4 linked regions of the Oryzias latipes genome follow. The protein of the gene in region 4 interacts with the protein of the main gene of each other region in a pairwise test. Links are inferred from orthologs where the notes say so. Each region holds a gene or a part of one and is shown on either strand. Other genes may lie near its edges.

The links. The genes of interacting proteins can lie anywhere in the genome.
Region 1: the proteins of fhl3 (region 4) and znf512b interact in binary tests that used the Homo sapiens proteins (3 or more experiments, as listed by UniProt). The two-hybrid records come from large-scale screens. The link is inferred for Oryzias latipes from reciprocal best matches to the Homo sapiens genes FHL3 and ZNF512B.
Region 2: the proteins of fhl3 (region 4) and gcm2 interact in binary tests that used the Homo sapiens proteins (3 or more experiments, as listed by UniProt). The link is inferred for Oryzias latipes from reciprocal best matches to the Homo sapiens genes FHL3 and GCM2.
Region 3: the proteins of fhl3 (region 4) and fosl2 interact in binary tests that used the Homo sapiens proteins (3 or more experiments, as listed by UniProt). The two-hybrid records come from large-scale screens. The link is inferred for Oryzias latipes from reciprocal best matches to the Homo sapiens genes FHL3 and FOSL2.

The regions. Positions count from the first base shown.
Region 1 is NC_019865.2:15,573,066-15,577,318, forward strand, and holds part of znf512b (zinc finger protein 512B), read left to right. Parts: intron 1-97; coding exon 98-196; intron 197-1,698; coding exon 1,699-2,034; 3' UTR 2,035-4,253. UniProt on the Homo sapiens protein: Involved in transcriptional regulation by repressing gene expression. Associates with the nucleosome remodeling and histone deacetylase (NuRD) complex, which promotes transcriptional repression by histone deacetylation and nucleosome remodeling.
Region 2 is NC_019878.2:1,852,116-1,856,368, reverse strand, and holds part of gcm2 (chorion-specific transcription factor GCMb), read left to right. Parts: intron 1-1,578; coding exon 1,579-1,642; intron 1,643-1,976; coding exon 1,977-2,165; intron 2,166-2,234; coding exon 2,235-2,347; intron 2,348-4,253. UniProt on the Homo sapiens protein: Transcription factor that binds specific sequences on gene promoters and activate their transcription. Through the regulation of gene transcription, may play a role in parathyroid gland development.
Region 3 is NC_019880.2:25,929,123-25,933,461, reverse strand, and holds the end of fosl2 (fos-related antigen 2), read left to right. Parts: intron 1-101; coding exon 102-209; intron 210-952; coding exon 953-1,492; 3' UTR 1,493-3,334; downstream 3,335-4,339.
Region 4 is NC_019874.2:23,736,742-23,741,535, forward strand, and holds the start of fhl3 (four and a half LIM domains protein 3), read right to left. Parts: upstream 3,338-4,794; 5' UTR 3,050-3,337; intron 1-3,049. UniProt on the Homo sapiens protein: Recruited by SOX15 to FOXK1 promoters where it acts as a transcriptional coactivator of FOXK1.

The sequences.
Region 1 (4,253 bases), on a different chromosome or scaffold from region 4:
TTTTTAGCTATCTTTCAGTCATGTGTATTTTCCTTATTGAATTTGAGAGGAATATGAGCAGATGTCAGAACACCTCCATACTTTTGGTGTTTTCCAGGGTGCCGGTGAGATGGGCAAGTACACCTGTCTGATCTGTCAGAAGGAGTTTAGCTCAGAGAGTGGTGTCAAGTACCACATAAGTAAAACACACTCACAGGTGGGTCCCCCCCCCCCCCCCCCCATTAGTGGAAACCTCATAGCCATAAAACAGGCACCGATGTCTTCCATTACACAAACTATTTTTCCATCATCCTTTGCTGAGTGAACACGTCTGCATTGAAATGGTTGCTTTTGTTTTTATTGAAAGTGATTGAAAGGGTTTGGTTGGACATGCTTTAAACACAGCTTAAGTGAGATCATCTTAATGTCATCTATCGGAAAAAGCATACTCAGTTGTGTTTGTGTCTAACTTTATAGTGTTTATTTAAAAAAGAAGTAACAGATTATGTAATTGAATAAAAAAAAAGCACAAAACATATGTTCTTCATTTATTCATTCATGTATTTATTTATTTGTGGGTCAAAGAAGTTAGACCACATAACACCACAACGCTGCCATTGCAATACTTGCTTTTTGTTAAAATGTTGCTCCTTACTTTTAAGTCCCTGGCAGGTACGGCACCATCTTACCTCTCCAGTCTGCTTTTAAAATATTCCCCCCTAAAGTCCTTATGTTCCACCGACCAGTTTGTGTTAATGGTTCCCAGAACCAAATGCAAGTTTTGGGGGAACCGAGCATTTGCTGGGTTGCCTCCTAAACTATGGAATGATTCCATAGTTCCAAACTCTCCAAGGCAATTGTTCCTCCATTTTAGCGCTTTAGCATCAGCCTAGTCCTAGTTTTAATCTCTTTTAAATTGGTTTTATGCTTTATATTCTTTTCTATTTATGTCTCTACTATGTTTTTAATTTGCTTGTTTAATTTGCTGTTAATTCTTTTATGCTTTGTTCTCCATGTGTACAGCACTTTGGGTCTCCTTGGCTGGCGGTGGAAGGTGCTTTATAAATAAATAAATGAATGAATGAATGTTTTTACTACGGGTAATTTCATTTCTGAGCAATTTGTTATAGTAAGTCGTTATTCTGGGGTTTTTGTATCATTAACAATGTTGATAAAGCAGTACAAATAGTAAATTTATTAATAATATAGCACAGAGTGAGATACTAATAGAAGTACTGAAGTGTTCTGTAGCTCTTCTAGAATCAAATTGGAAAAAATGTCACTATTGGCTGAACGCTCTGACCTAAAAGTGTGAGGAAGCCACTGCTGTCAGCTGGCTTTTTACTAAACAGTGCTGTGAAAAAGGTGTAAACTTTACTAGTTCATCATTTCCTAAACTAGTTATCTTGTGAAAACCCAAACATAAAGAATGAAAATCAAGTTTTTTGAAAAAAAATGATCAAATATAATTGATAACGCATATTCTACAATTTTTCCTTTATACAAAGTTTTTCTTTGAAATGCTAACTTATAATGCAACACACAAGCTTCTGGTTTAAATGTATTATCTTTAGAGTGACTTTTTTCTGTAGGATTTACATCATCATCATTTTCAATATATTATTCTGATTAATGTCTTCCTTTTAAGAGTGTTCAAACACGTTTTTATAATATTTTAATGATCTCATCGTGCATTGAATTCTTTCTCTTCCCTCTAAGAACTGGTTTCGTACTGCAGCCAACCATGTGGTGTCTGGTAACAAGAGCAAAGTGGAGGAAAATAATGGGATCAGAGCTGAAGTGAGGAACGGTGCCACCACTGGTAAGAAGAGAGGGCGCAAACCTAAAGAGCGCCCCAGTGTGGACGCTCCTCCACAAACAGATATCGAAGCACTTACTCAGAATACTGTCCTAACTGTGGCCCCTCCCTCTGGACCAGCACAGTCCTCCGCCTTGGTTCCCAACTGTACGGACGGTGACTACCCATGCCACAACAGACAGCCTGTCCCCTCAGCCCCCAGACGAAGCAAACCTAAAAGGCCCTTTTTTGAGTAGTTCTGGAGCCAGCGAGGAGCTTCAAACATTGCAAATGACGGGAAACCTCTCGAACTCCACAGAAACTCTGGGCTTAAGAAGAAACTCAAACCCACCAATAAGAAAGAAACAAATGTTAGTCCTTAAATTCTAATTCAAGACTCCGGATTTCGTGTTTGCACTGGTATGAACAATATTCACAAAGGTTTTTTCCTCCATTCCACTATTGTCTCCTTTCTAAGGCTTTCAGTTTTTATTTTTGTTTTCCCAGCAGGGGGGGTAATCGCAAATCAAATCCAGAACTTAAACATGCTAGTTTTTTGTTTTGTTATTTTTAACAATCATAGTTCTCTATATTAAAGAAGACACAAGTTTTCTCTGTGAGATACATGTTGTGCTTGAGAGGTTTTTAAAAATAGAAATTTTATCAGCATGAAGAAGCCATTTATCGAAAGCTAGTGTTGTCACAGATAGACTTGTCTGTGTACATAAACAGTAAATATATCTTTGTGTATATTTAAAGCAAATATTCATTTTTCATTTTCAAGTTGAGCAGATTCAGTTTGCAGTCTAAAGTTTTTTATGGGCGTAAGTGACATTTTGTTCCTTGTTTCTTCTTTTAACCTGCTTATCTATTTGGGTTAACATGTTGGCCAGTTTTAAATCACGGTTCACTCTTTAAAACTACTTTGACAGGACGAATAAGATTGTCTGCCTTACAGATTGTTTCCTCAGATCTTTTTTATTGAAACTAACAAACTGAATCCCCCCCAAAAAACGATTCAAAACTCTTAAATATATACATTTTTTAAGTTATGCTTAATGCAATATTTTAAACAGAATCTCCGTCTATATTTGGCCCAGGAAAGGTAAATATTAGACAAAGGGAAGAACTTTGTGTGAAACTTATCTAAGACTATTGCAGCACAATCACATCATGTGACACCACTTTAAATAGGGCCAAGCTTTGGCAACTGCTTTAGCTTACATCTAAGCTGAAGAGAGGATTTTAAAATATATATATATCTTTTATAGAGCATTTGAGAAAAATACATCTTTATTAAAGAAAAAGAAAAAAAACTTCTGATTAAAATTCACAGAAAGTAATGCATATGCATGAGTTCCTGGAAGCTCAAAGTTATTGCCTTGCACTTTAACACTCGAGCTTTCATGCTTGCCTTTTTGCACTCCAAGAATATACAACTGAAGTGCAGGAATGGGAATATTTTTTAACTCCAATGAAAGCTGGAGTTAGGGGAAAAAAAATCAGCACAGTTAACACTTTGAGTCCAGGATGACAGTAACATTTACAACATCAGAAAGCCATAACTGGTTGTTAGTGTGCTGCCACTAACTGTTAGATTAGCCTCAGATTTGCTTTAAAAAAATTGAAAAAAGTTAAATACATTTTATGACGTGGAATATTTTCACTTGGTAATGGTAAACTACTTCATTTTGTAGTTGAAATTATAATAGAAATTCCATAAGAATTTAATATATTATTGTTTGTATCAATTCAAAAATACTAAGTATAAGACTTAAATCTGGACTCTTTAAATAAAAAAAACTGTGGTGTGGGGATATTCTGGTGAAAATATAAAGGTGCTTTACTAGCCTTTCTACCTTAAAGACCTGAAACAACTCACGCACATCCACCAATCCATTTTGCCATGTTCTTCGTGTTTGCAAGTTGTCTGAATTTTGCACCAAAACGTCATGTCATCATGAAAACAGTGAAGAACTGAACTGTTTAGGTGTTCCTAAAACCACAAGGAGCTGATAGTCAGAAGACAGTGAAGAAACATTTTGTTTTAAAAGTAATTTTGAGTCCTTCCTAAGCTGTAAACTTTTAAAACATAAACCAGAGATCCAGTATGATTTTTTTTTCTTCCTAATATGAGGATGGAGTTCATCCAGTCGGGAATGGCTGTGCACTTGTTTAGGGATGGACCTTTATCTTCTGTGGAGTTTCAGCTGAGGAAGCATCATTCAGACGAGCACTGATTGGTCTGTGGACCTGTTCAAAATGAGTCGTTGGAACCTTCTGTGCGTTTGTGAGTATGTGTGTGTATCTCAGACAGTTAGCACCTTTGTAATGGGTGAATGTTAAAATGGTGACACTTGTTAAGTGTTAAGCTGTAGCACAGAATCACTTCATTAGCTGCTTATTTCTTGTCTCATCGATGGCGTCACATTAACCTGGTTTACCTAAAAAGCTTTGGTGTTGCAATATGATAGTT
Region 2 (4,253 bases), on a different chromosome or scaffold from region 4:
ACGTCACGCACGTTCCGTTTTGTTGTTTTTTGTTCGAATCCTCAAAATAAAAATGACATAAAAAATCAGATTTCTTTATGACATTTCTTTAATTTTATCAAATTAATGAAACATAATTCATTGATATTGTAATGAAGTTAAATTTGCACAACAGAGCAGTCACTTGACCTGTCGTTCTCTGCAGAATGCAATGCAGGGCAAATAAACATTTAGTTGTTAATGCTCACTATGTATTTGTAGCAACTTCATTTTGATAGAAGGCTAATATAGCTATTATATATACATATTGCATGTGTTGCCTTCATTATAAGGCTTAAATAGGGCTTTTAATATTTTGCGGCTACAGAAATGTTTGTTTTTTGTTTTTTTCGTTCAATTTGGCTCTTTCAACATTTTGGGTTGCCGACCCCTGGTTTAGGCTGTCATCAACAACACCTACATGAATAATAATTTCACACATTGCTGTGATTTTATCTGTGTTTAACAATAAAGCAAATAATAATATAATTTTTTTTAAAAACTGAGAATAGGAACCAAGAGGAATGAACACAAAAGCAAATAGGATTTTTCTGTGTTATTGAGTTTGAATGAGACAGAGCGGAGATGTTAGACTTTGTGGTGCTGCTCTGATTCTGATTGGTGGATCCAAGCAAAATATCTGTTAAGGAAATACTAAAGCTCATAAAAACTGTCTTGATTTTCTTTATCAAATTATATATTATGCAATATTTATTTAAGTCTTGTGTTTTTAGTGATTTAGTGGGCATATTTAACAGTGATGTGGTTTTGAGCAGATGGCAGAATTTTGGGAAGCTGGAAAAGAAGTGAGAAGGACGACATAACTGCTTTATTTGCCTAGTCAAGGGTCTAAACATCTGAACTTTTCAGGTTTTCTGAGTGATCCTTGACCTGGAAGGGTTAGTATCATTCAAATATTCCAGACCTTCCAGAAGCACAAACTATTGGAAGGTTAGCTGAAGGTCTTTGGAGCTGCTGACTCAGCTCTAAGTCTTGCTGAACCATTTCATTGTCAGTTGAAGGTTAAGTAGAGGTTGTGAAGAGCCTGCTGACATAGCATGCGCTGATGTTGTTGCTCAAACACCAAAACTGGTTTTCATATTTGTGTTTTCACTCAAACCAAAACAGTGAAAGAGACTTTGTCAGCTGATCTTCAGGCCGCCCTGACACTGATCAATATCTACCCCGTCCTATAAACCGCCCAACTGCACCTTCTTTTTGAAACATAAGAGCTGCTGATCAGGTTCTAATTACAACACGTAAAATATTTGCAATGTCCAGTTAAAAAACTGGACACTGTCCAAGCATGTCATGCAGGCTGAGCACAGAGACCTATAGAGACGGCCTTTACTGCCAGATAGACTGATTGTTCTGTAATCTGTTTGATTCTTTTGGATTCTTCACTGCAGGCAAGCATTCATTCTGTCCTCTTTAGATGTTTAGTGTAACAAGAGTCAACCAGAAGACTCCTCCAACTTTGACCCGTCTGTCTGTCTGTCTGTGTCTCCTTCTGTCTGTCTGCACTTGTCTGACTGTCTCGCTGTCTCTGTCTGTGTGCAGGACCTGAAGCAGTTCGACCCCTTCCAGGAGTGGACAGATGGTTACGTTCGCTACATCTACAGCGGTGAGACATTTTGAGTTTACCGTACAGATGAAATGCCTCCTCAGCTGTGAATAAGTGTTCTGATTGGACAGTTGAACCTTTAGGTTAATGAGCAGATGTGTCTGTGCAGTCAAGCATCTTTTCTTGTTGGCACAAATCCTAATAAATACAGTTTTTAGGCCAACGTTTTATTGTTTTGACTTTTACTAACTGAATCCATGGGAAACTGCAACAGTGGCAACAAAAAGCAGGTGAAAGGTTGAACCTTTTTCTTGGACCTCAGATCATACAGCAGTCTTTGAGGAGCGGCTGAACACTTGGGAGGTTTGAACTTGCGAGTCTCTTTGTTTTGCAGCTGAAGATAAAAACGCTCAGCGACATTTGTCGGGCTGGGCCATGAGGAACACCAACAACCACAACTGTCAGATCCTGAAGAAGTCCTGTCTGGGTGTGGTGGTCTGTTCTCGGGGGTGCTCGCTGCCAGACGGATCCAGACTGCAGCTCCGACCCGCCATATGTGACAAAGCTCGGCAGAAACAGCAAAGTAAGGACTGAGTGAGACCATGTGTCCGTAGTCCCTGCTAGACCAAACTCATAACGATGTACGTTCCAGAAAAGCTCTGCCCGAGCTGCAGCGCTGGTCTGGAGCTGCTGCCGTGTCGAGGTCACAGCGGCTATCCTGTCACCAACTTCTGGAGAGTGGACGGAAAATCCATCTTCTTCCAGGTAGAACCGGTTCAGTACTTTGTCACTCAGCTGAACGGAAACGTATGTGCTGAAAGAGAAATCGGGTCCAGAGATCTTTAAATGATGTATTTAGCAAAAAACTAATACAAATGTTATTTTATGAAAAATCATTAATAAAGAGAACTTTCTTTAGATCAGATTCCAATCGATCATTTTGATTCAAAATTATGGCCTGCAGCCGTCACAGACTGCAGGGACCAGGTTGTTTTTGTCGACATATCCGATATCCGAGCCAAAAAGGCCTGAAAAAAAGTGTTACAATCAGACTGGAAAAGATTAAAGTGTTGAGAGGAAGAGGGTGATGTGAGTGTGTTTATGGTGTTAAAAATTGCTTTTGGGTTTCTTTTGTTCATTGAAATAAGTTTGTGAAAAAATGTTGACCTAGCTTGCTTTATCATATCATTTAGGGTGGAGGGTGGCTCTTTAAGATGCAGCCTGTGCACTTCCAGTTTTATTGTTTTCCATAGACGTTCTACTTTACGACAAAGTCTTCTGAAGGAACGAATGTCAGCAGTTATCCAAGGAAATGACTTATTAGAAGTGACGCTCTCTCTGACAGCAGCAATTGTGTTTATAATGGTTTCACAGTGACTGTTAAAAGAGTGCAAAAAAGAGTCTACACTGTCAAAAGGGTTAAAAGAATTTGTATCAAACAGATCTGTGAATCTATCCGACTCATTCTGACGTAAAATTCGTCTCTGCATTCTAACAGGTGTGGGTGAAGGCGGGTGGGGGGAAATCACACTAACCCTTGTGCTATCTTAGATGACCCCACCCTTACTTTGATGTGTTCTCCCTACCATGACAAAGGTGGATAAAGGTGGAAAGATTTCATGTAATCCATGGACACCAGTAAAGATCACAAATCATTGAAGAAAAAAGGTTCAGAGCACTGTCTAGTGGGTCTAGATGACCCAACTCCCAATGGTAAAGTGCCTAGGATAGCACAAGGCTAAAGAAAATTCAGCAGTGATCACCGATGTGACTGTCTTTAACTCTAAGCTGCTTAATATGTAGACTTAGGGAAAAGACTATGTCCAGAGTGTGCAAAATTCAAATATTTAGTTATAAATAACAATTCTGAAGCAGAGACACAGGAAGAGTCATGAATGTGAATATTAAAATCACCCAGTGAGAGTACAGGGTTCAAATTGATAATACCTGATTAAAACTCAGCAAACTCGTCTAAAAATACCCGTGCAGGGCCAGGAGGTCGGTAAATTAAAATGCAATAAAACGGGGAGTCAGATCCAACCTTAGTGATCTGCAGTTCAAATGAGCTGAAAGAATCTGAGCTCAGCTTCCAGCCGGAGGCTAGAAGACTACCAAATGTCCTGGTAGATGGCGGCCAGTCCCCCCCAGACTGCCCCGTCCCACAGATTGTTGAGATGGATGCGCTCCATCTTCCGCTGCCATGTCTCTGTCAGGCAAAGGAAGTCCAAGTGCTCCGATGTGAAAGAGTCATTCAGATGAAAAGCTTCGTTAGTGATGGAGCGTGCGTTCAACAGGAGTTGATCCTCAGATGATCCCCAGATTTCCCGGCAAAGGGGTCGCAGGGTTCAGGCGTTAACTCCTCTATGGCGCAGACCGGGCAACCAGGGCCGTTTTGTCAAACCCCGTTGACAGGAGTCAGCCAGCTGATCACAGGCTCCAGGGAGCGATAGGAAGAACAGTGGCGACTAAACTCTTTGAATTCAGCCTTGGTGTGTCCAGTAAAACCTCTCAGATGGGTTTTTATGCGGATCATTTTACCACCTTGTCTTCCATGGCAACGATGGCGTCTTTTCCTTGGGGGAGGGAGAGCCGTTGGGCGGCAGAGAAAAGCAGGAACTCCCTCTAGAAAAGCGGGCAGGGGTTTCTGACCACGAACATCTTGTGAGTCGAG
Region 3 (4,339 bases), on a different chromosome or scaffold from region 4:
AACAGCACGGGATGATGAGAAATGTAACATGTGAAGCAAGTTTAAAGGAGGAATTTTACAGTGAACTAAATCCATCTGTTTTTTTCTTAACCTGGCTACAGCTCACCCCAGAGGAGGAGGAGAAGAGGAGGGTAAGGCGCGAGAGGAACAAACTGGCCGCAGCTAAGTGCCGCAATCGCAGGCGAGAGCTCACCGAGATGCTGCAAGGGGTGAGTCCCACATTCGCCTTTGGCTCTAGCGCCCATCTATGGTTCTTGCCTTCCTTCTAAAGAAAAAACTAAACTCCTGTACGAGCCTCCTGTTAGCATCACTGACAGATGAAAAGCCGTTTCTGCTGCAGACAGAAGGAGAAGCGTCCCGCTGCTCATGCCTCACAGACAGCTACAACATCTAAATGGAGTAAAATCCCAGTGAGGTGGAGCTTAACAGACCATAAAAATGAGCCCTGTGTGGAATTTAGACCCGGCTCGGGAAGGCAGGACGTTCTGTAAAGAGGCGACCGGCTCGACCCCGCAGCCCGTGCAACACTTCCACAGAAACTTAAAGTTCCTTTTTCACTCAGAGTGAAAAACGGTCTAAATGTTTGCAGTGTGTGTTGCCTTAAAGCACTGAAGAGCTTCGCTTCACCCCACCTTTCTTCAGTTCCTTGTTAACAACTTCCTCATACCTTTGCACACCAGCCAAAGTTCTCTGAGAGCATGAAAGCAGCACTTTTAGGGTCTGCCTCCTTTATCTACATCTGTTTTATTCTAAGACATGAATCACAATCACAGCCATGGCTGAATGCTCAAATCATGCTTGAGATTTTATGTCTTTGATAATGTTTAGAAGCCTTGTTTGGGTTTGTTGATTTTGCATGAAGAGGTAAACACTGCCCTCTTCTGGGGCTTTAGAGAAACGTCAACACCGCTGACAGCGTTCAAAGCTCAACTTCTGTTTCCTCTTTCCTCAGGAGACTGAGAAGCTGGAGGAGGAGAAGGCCGACCTGCAGAAGGAGATCGAGAACCTGCAGAAGGAGAAAGACAAGCTGGAGTTCATGCTCGTCGCTCACAACCCTGTGTGCAAGCTGCCCCTCTCCGAGCGCCACCAGCCCTCGGCGCAGCAGCAGCAGTGCAACCTGCTCCCGCTGTCCATGCGCCCCGGCGTGGGCTCCAGGGCTCAGATGAGCCAAGTGGTGGTGAAGCAGGAGCCGGACGACGCAGACGAAGGTTTGAACAAACCGCAGCGCTCCGTCATCAAGCCCATCTGCATCAGTGGCGGCGGCTTGTACTGTCCAGACGGAGACAGCCTGAACACGCCTGTGGTGGTGGCCTCCACCCCAGCCACGACACCTAATGCCCCCAACCTCATATTTACCTACCCCAACATGTTGGAGCCGGAGAGCCCCTCACCCTCCTCCGAGTCCTGCTCCAAGGCCCACCGGCGGAGCAGCAGCAGCGGCGGGGATCAGTCCTCCGACTCCCTCAACTCCCCCACCCTCCTGGCCCTCTGAGTGGAGGAGGCAGCCGACGCCAGGAAGTAACACTGTGGTCAAACCCCAGGGTCAACTGCCCCTTTACCCCCCTCCTGTGTTTTTGAAGCACATTCAAAAGTCTGGACCAAGTCGACTGCGTGAGCCGTCTCCCCTCCGGGTTTGAAGGAGGGGGGGGGCAATAAGTACCACGCCACAACCCCCCCACCCAAGGTGTGCAACAACCCTAAAGCATCATCCTGTCACCATTTCAACTCCAGGGGTCATCATGTTTACAGACGATTCTGAAGAAACCTGCCTGAACGTACGCGGCAATCATGACTGACGGGACCACAGAACAACTCTTTCCTAGATTTTTATTGACTTTATCCTAAAAGCCATGTTGTTGACACTTGCACTCTGCCAAAACGAATAAATGAATAAATCACTAAGCGAGGCCGGCATTTTTGCTGGAGTTTTATGGAGAAACAAAGACGTCGTCTTGGCTGTTTTTTCATTGAGATTTGTCTTTTCCTGTCGATATTGAGACTATAGGCTCTGAGAGTGTGTAGACTTTTCTGCTGTTTTCTCCATGACTTTCAGTGTATTTATGGCCTGTGCTAATGGAGTTTCAAAACTGTTTTGTTGTTCTCTTCTTCAATCCGCCTGTAGAAAAGCAGTTTGAGCCGAGCCCTCCTCAGTGTTGGGGAAAGAAACCCTTCAGCACTTCCTGTTCCGCCTTAGTGGCTTGACTTTCCAGTAGTATTGTGTGCTTTTCCTCAGCGATTCTGTATCTGAACTTTACGACCTGTTTTTTGACAAAGTGTACGTGATTTACATTGATGTCAGGGACGGTGTTTGGTGTGTCTTGAAGAGCGCGGCAGAGTTTCTGGCTGTTCCAGAGGCGGTGCGGCGAGCAGCAGCAGCCGCCGCCGCCACCTCGGACAGTTCTGTACGTTTGAACAAAACCTTCCTTCTGCGCAAAACATCTTTGTTTTCCAAACATCTCACTCTGGTTCAGCGCTCCATCTTGGGGGCCAGGCAGGTCTCAAGAAGCCAAAAATAAGATTCTTGTAAATCCTGTGATTTGTGTGTCTGTGTCTAAAAGGAGGATTTTGCTCAAATCAGGAGAAGCCTCTGTGGTCCAGACTGTCGCCACTCGCCAATGATGTCAACCCTCTTCTGCAGTGTTTGTATTTCAGTCTGTTTTTTTTTAGAAAAGAGTGGGAAAATCTCCTTTAGATGTTCTGATTTGGGGGTCCAGCCATCGACACAAAGCTCAGCTGGATCAGAACCCAACACAAGAGAGGATGAAGACCATAAACTGCATCAAGGAGTGGAAGCCAACAACCTTTTCAAAGAGGTTTAAACGCCACGCACTACGAAGGGCAGACCGGTGAAATTTGAATCTTGTCCTTTTGTTTACTTGAGACATTTCAATGAATCTACCGTCAGGTTTGCTTGAACCCTTTCTGTGATCAGCGGGGAAGAAAGTTGCGCTGGATGCAGAAACTGCATTTCTTTTGCAATTCAACACAAGCTGCTACTTGTTTGGGAGAAACACAGACACACACATGCTGGGTGTTTCTATTGGGGTGTAATGTGACTAGCTGTTATCGGGGCCCCCCAGCCTGCAGGACGGCCCCAACGCAGCACTCTGTCTGCATGCTGGAATTCTATGGAGCCCTTCAACACACATAGGAAAGCCATGGACTGTAGATCTTCTGCTCTACATGTCACCTGTTGTCTGTTCTACTGTTAATTTTTTTTTTTCAAATGCTTTAACTGTTTCAAATAATTCAAAATGAGTAAAAACAGCAATATGTAAAGCAGTGTTTGTTAATTTAAAAGATAAATGATAATAAAATAATTTTCAACTTGGAATTGTTTCTTTTCTTATTTGTTGGTTTGTGGTTCTGGCATCGGGTGGAATCACGTCCTCCTAGTTCATCTGGATGATTTACTCAGAGAAATATTCAACGGCTGTCTTGACTTTGATTTAGATGAATCATAGAAAATAGGTTTAGGTAGTAAATGCATAAATTCAAAGGCTGCACAGGAGAGAATCACAAATAAAAGTAAAAATATTTGTAAAAAATGACAATCAAAGGCCTTTCTGAGTCGATGATGGGAATCAATGACAGCTAGAAGGTCGTCCATTATAGTGTTTTTAACACGAGGAGTTTTTTCATGGACAGGAGGCTTTGCTATGTGATGGTTCAGCTGCGTAAATGCCTAAGGTAGGGCAGCAGAATGGTGTAGTGGTCAGCACTTCTGCATCACAGTGAAGATGTCCTGGTTCAAATCCCAGGTAGGTCCTTTTTTTGTGTGGAGTTTGCTTGCTCTCAGCGTGCACGTGTGGGTTTTCTCTGGGCAATGCAGCTTCCTCCTATAGTTCAAAAACATGCTTCATGGGTTCATTGTTGAGTGTAAATTGCCCCTCGGTGTGCAGGTGTGCGTGGTCCTGCAACAGACTAGTGACCTGTTCAGGGTGGACCCAGCAGCCCTGTGACCCCAAAGCGGTTCAGTGGGTTCTGAAGATGGATGGATGGATTTGTAAAGGAACGAGAGGACAGTTCCCTTTTGTGTCTACAGCCAACTGTACAACTGGTTCTTTTCACTCTATTTATTTGGTGTTTGCTGCCCTCTAGTGGTCGCAGTCATAAAGTGCAGCACTGAGTGGAAGAGGACAATCCGTCATTGTCTTTTTTGGGGGGGCTTGGATCTTTGGTTTCAGTGCTGGCTTTCCTTTTCCACACATAGAAAGCATCTTTTAACCCTTGTGCTATCCTGGGCACTTTACCATTGGGAGTTGGGTCATCTAGACCCACTAGACAGTGCTCTGAACCTTTTTTCTTCAATGATTTGTGATCTTCACTGGTGTCCATG
Region 4 (4,794 bases):
GTTTTCCGTCCTTCTGGTTGGTTCATTTGTATATGCTGAATGCTTCTGTTCTGGCTCTACCTTGAAACCTTCAGGCAAGGGTGCAGGGAAACAGCCAAGCTTGACTCAAATGCTTTTTTGGCACATTATAGAATGGGAAGTGAATCGACAGGATTTTCATACCCAAACGTCTGTTAAATGTGGGAACTTTAAACCTTGGACCAAGGACATCTCAAGGCATGCAATTATTCTGTATTAAATGGAGTTGTTAAAGGCATTTGCAGTTCTGTGCTCACAATTTGGTTTTTCCTTTGAAACTGTCTTTCCTTTTGAGGTAAGAGTAAAGCACAGACATGTAATTGTATGCTTAAAGAAGCCTAATTACCCCCTAAGCAGAGTCACTTACACTTCACACTCTTTATTTGACAATATAAATTTTATGTGCTCTTTAAAAGAAAGTCCTGGAATGGACTGGGCGATGCAAGAAAGGAAAGACTAAAAAGAAGTTAGTGAGAGGAGATGCCTGGATTGTGAGGAGACATTTTACTTCCCACTGGGGCCCTGGCTCAGGGGATAGAGTTTCAGACATTTACCAACAAAGCATCCACGGAGGAAGCCTTGCGACCCTCACAATAACACTACAGCACCTGGCAATCCCCTCACAGGAAATCTGAGGTCACTTCCCCCCTTTTTAAGGGAATGCAGACACACTACAACAGCCAGCCACGCGCCCCCACATCCTACCAAGGAGGGAACTGACTACCATAACAACCAATTTAAACATGCTGAAGTTCCAGTGCTACACTTTCATACACACACATATATATATATATATATATATATATGTATATATATATATATATATACACACAAAATGACAAAACCAATATTATTGTTCTCATAGCTGTTTGAGGAGGTTCAATCCAGGGCACTGCATTATGGTTTTATTGTCATAGCACCTTTTTTTTTTAAATTCCAAAATATCTTTATTGTGATTTTCAAAGCTTTATATGTTATAGCACCTTTAATCATTTTTTTACAGAAAAAACCCCAAAAAGATTAGAACCAAAACCTAATACATTACGGACTTATTTAACTTCACCAAAGCCTTGTGATGGAATTATCGGGCCGCATCCCGCCTTTGCCCTGAACTTTTGACACTCCACAAGGATAAGCAGGTACTGATAATAGACAGTGCCACCAAAATTATAACTAATTATTACTGAGACCTCAATAAGTAAGCTTTTCAAACAGGCACCTGATTATTGGGTTGTACTTCACATTTTGAGTGAAGGTGGAGAGTAAAACTATGTAGAAGTTGAAGACAAACGAAACTCTGTGATGTAGGACTGTTGATCAGACACCCACACGTGGGATTTTAAGGCACTGAGCAATTACACGAGCACAAATTGTGCCAATGGAGGAACACACAGCTGCACAATGTCACAAGAGGACTACATCAACGCAAATTCCAATTCTGCTCTCAAAAACCACCTGCAAACACTTGACCGCCAACTCCTCCATCATTACCATTGGCCAGGTTTCAAATGGTGCCAACACATAAAGGCTGCTAAAACCAGTTCAAATTATTTGGTTGCAGTCCTGCTGCAGTTTTGGAACTGGCCAGAGTCCAAAAACCACGCAGAGCTAACCTTTGGAAAACACTGGGACCTCTGAAGAATGTGACCATGGTCAAAGAAATGGAGGCGGTGGGAGGAAAAAAGCAAACAATGACATTATGCAGCTCTGTATGCTCTGTCAAGGCAAACTTCCCAGATGCTAAATGGAACCGAATAAGAGACATGTAGTTAAAGGGTGTTTCCTCTGCTGGTTATCCTTACTGACCATGTAAGAAAAAAACCTGTAGGTGGCAAGAGCACCCCAGCACTCCTCAGACCAAAAACTTTTAGAAGAGGCATACTACAGCACCATGTTGACTTCTATGTCCAGGCTGCAGCTGTATCTTCTCTTGCATCTACTCACAGTTGGATCAGGAGATTTTCTTTTTGTCTACCACGCTGGAGACAAACCAGCAGATTAAAATGTATGTTCTATACTGCAGAAAAAGGATTGCTTATGTTTAAGAGGAGGACATTGACATTATTTCTTTTTATTCATGCTGCAGTTTGTTAGTTGGGTCAAGATCATGAAGAATCAATGCAATTTTTCTCTGTCTGGAAATCAAGATTAAGTTGTTTGTGAAAGACCTTTTAATCTCCCAAAAATTCTGGGATTCTCTTGCAACCGATGTCAGAACAACCCCCAGTTCTTTCTTTGCTGCCTGTTTCAGCAGACTATATTCAATCAGAGCTTAAGGAAGAGCTTTTTGTGAACCAAAGGCATCGATTTAAAACAATCTCTTCCTCTATCTGTTATACAGACTGTTAAACTTTTTACAGTCAAGGCTGACCACCTCACCCTCCCACTGCACCCACATGACCCAGCAGGTGAGCCAAACTGTCATCACAATGACACGTACCATGAGGTGCTGCACGACTCCAGACGCTACAGCATAGACACACCCATTGCACACTCTTACTGCTATTTGCCACTTTCCCCTTTTGCAGAAAAAAAGAGGCAAGTTTCGCCTGTGGGACTTAGTCCTGTGAAGGCTTCACTTGGAGCTCAGCTTGAACTTCTCTGACAAAACAGTTGCTCCTGAATCCTTCATATGCACAGTTCAGAGGGTCACACAAGCTAATATGGTCTGTTTCTTCATCGGAAGGATGTTATTTATATTTCCTCCGCCTTGTACACTCTACGAGTGTACAGAGGGACACAACTGAATTACTGAATGAGAGGGAAGGGAAAAAGTTAAAGACAGCAACAGCAAATTTAGACAATGTCTAAACACGCAACCAGATACTTCTACTTCAGGAATTGTAGATATTTGGTTGAGCCTACTCTCAAAACCCTTTCCCCCCCAACTATACTTTCATTCAGTCATAAAGGACTAAGTAATGGACTTGAAAGAACCCAGATTATCTTATATATTCATACACACCTGTGTTTGATTTAGGATCAACAGGTTACTCAATGAAAATGATGGAGCCAAAATGTCTCTTCTTACCAGTCAGACTGATTGAAGTGTGGAGGCACCTTTCCAAGCTGCTGTGGTGGTGATCCAGCCGCCTTCCTCCCGTCAGCACACGGCCGCTCAGGTCAGCACACGGCCGCTCAGGTCAGCACAGGGATCAGCTCACAGAAAAAGCTCAGGAGTGTCGCTCTCCGGCTCTGAAACGTTCTGTTTTATCTGCTTGTCATTAGCTCGTGCTGGTTTGCGGCGCCTTCCATTCGTGAAACCCGGGTTCGACTCCGGTCTGCTCCCTGTTCCCTTCTCTACCTCTGCCGGTTCCAAGCCCGGTTTGAGAAGGTTGCGTCAGGAAGGGCATCCGGCGTAAAACATTGCCAAATTTACCATGCGACTTGTTCGCTGTGGCGACCCCTGATGGGAGAAGCCGAAAGTGGAAGCAAAGCATGAAAACTCTGCAGCACAGAGGGGTGCAGCTTGCCGGCTACTTTTGTCCTACTACTGAGGAAGTTGCTGGTGAGTCACAAGATCCCGCCCCCCCAAAAAAGGCATTCCTCCCTCCCTCTTTCCAGCGACTTCAAACAAGAGTGGAAAAGGCCCATGCAGGCAAGAGGGGAGATTCTTGCAAGGCTCTTTTGTCTCTTCAACATTGCATTGCAGTGGGTTATAATAGAATTTTGTTTGTTTTGAGTTTAGAGCAGAATATGTGAAGCCTGCATGTCATGAGATGTTTGAGTGTGTGGACCACAGGTGCTGGAGGCTTCTGAAGGATTTCTTTAAAAATAGCAAAACCATCAATGAAATTACATCACAGGATTATATGTATTATTATTATGGTTGTTGTTTTGAAAGGGAGGGACATAAACAATCCTTCCAAAAATGACCACGAAGGGTTAAAGATTGATCTAATTGTTAAATTACATTCCTCTTTTTTTTACAGTGTTTTAAGTTCAAATGATTCATTTGTGTTAAGACAAACGAATAAGTCGACTTATTCAGGATTAAGCTGACCTATGCTCTGACAAAGTGAATGCTCTTTACTTCAGTGTTAATCATTAAAAACACGAATCATTATTAATTTAGATTTTTTTAATAGAATTTAATGACATTTTACAAAGAAAATGGAATTAACTATTCAAACTCATGCATTGCCTTTCCTTTTAAGATATTTTCTCTCTTTTTTAAGACAAAAAAGACAAAAAACGCTTTCTCTTTACTGTTGATGTAAGACTCCTTTTTTAAATAAAAGTGGGCTACCACTTTTGTTTGTTTTAAAAGACATGTTTTCTTAATCAAAACTGGTTTTGGAAATAAATTGATGAAATAAAGCAACATTTAATTGATTCGTATTTAATCACAAATCAATTACAATCTATTTGGTTCAGTAGTTGTTGCATTAATACACAACCCCTTTAGTTCTACATTATTGACATATGTACTACGTTATTTATAGAAATTATTTATCTAAATCTTTACTAACATCAAGTTAATCTAGCTCTTTTTTTATAACAATTTTTAGGTCTTCAATCAAAAAACAGAGATTATGAATTAGAGGACTGATGCAAGAACAAACTAAACAAAAAGAGACTGAAATTCACAAGCATTGCCCACCAGCTTTTTAATTTTACCTTTACATTTTGCTTGCCGCAGGAGAAGTAAATAGCATAAATAGATATATTCGTTATGTCCCATAGCACTTTACAATGGCAAATCCCATTCACCCATGCACACAGATGGTGTCAGAGCTACCATGCATTCTAGCCAGACCATTTGTCATGACATAT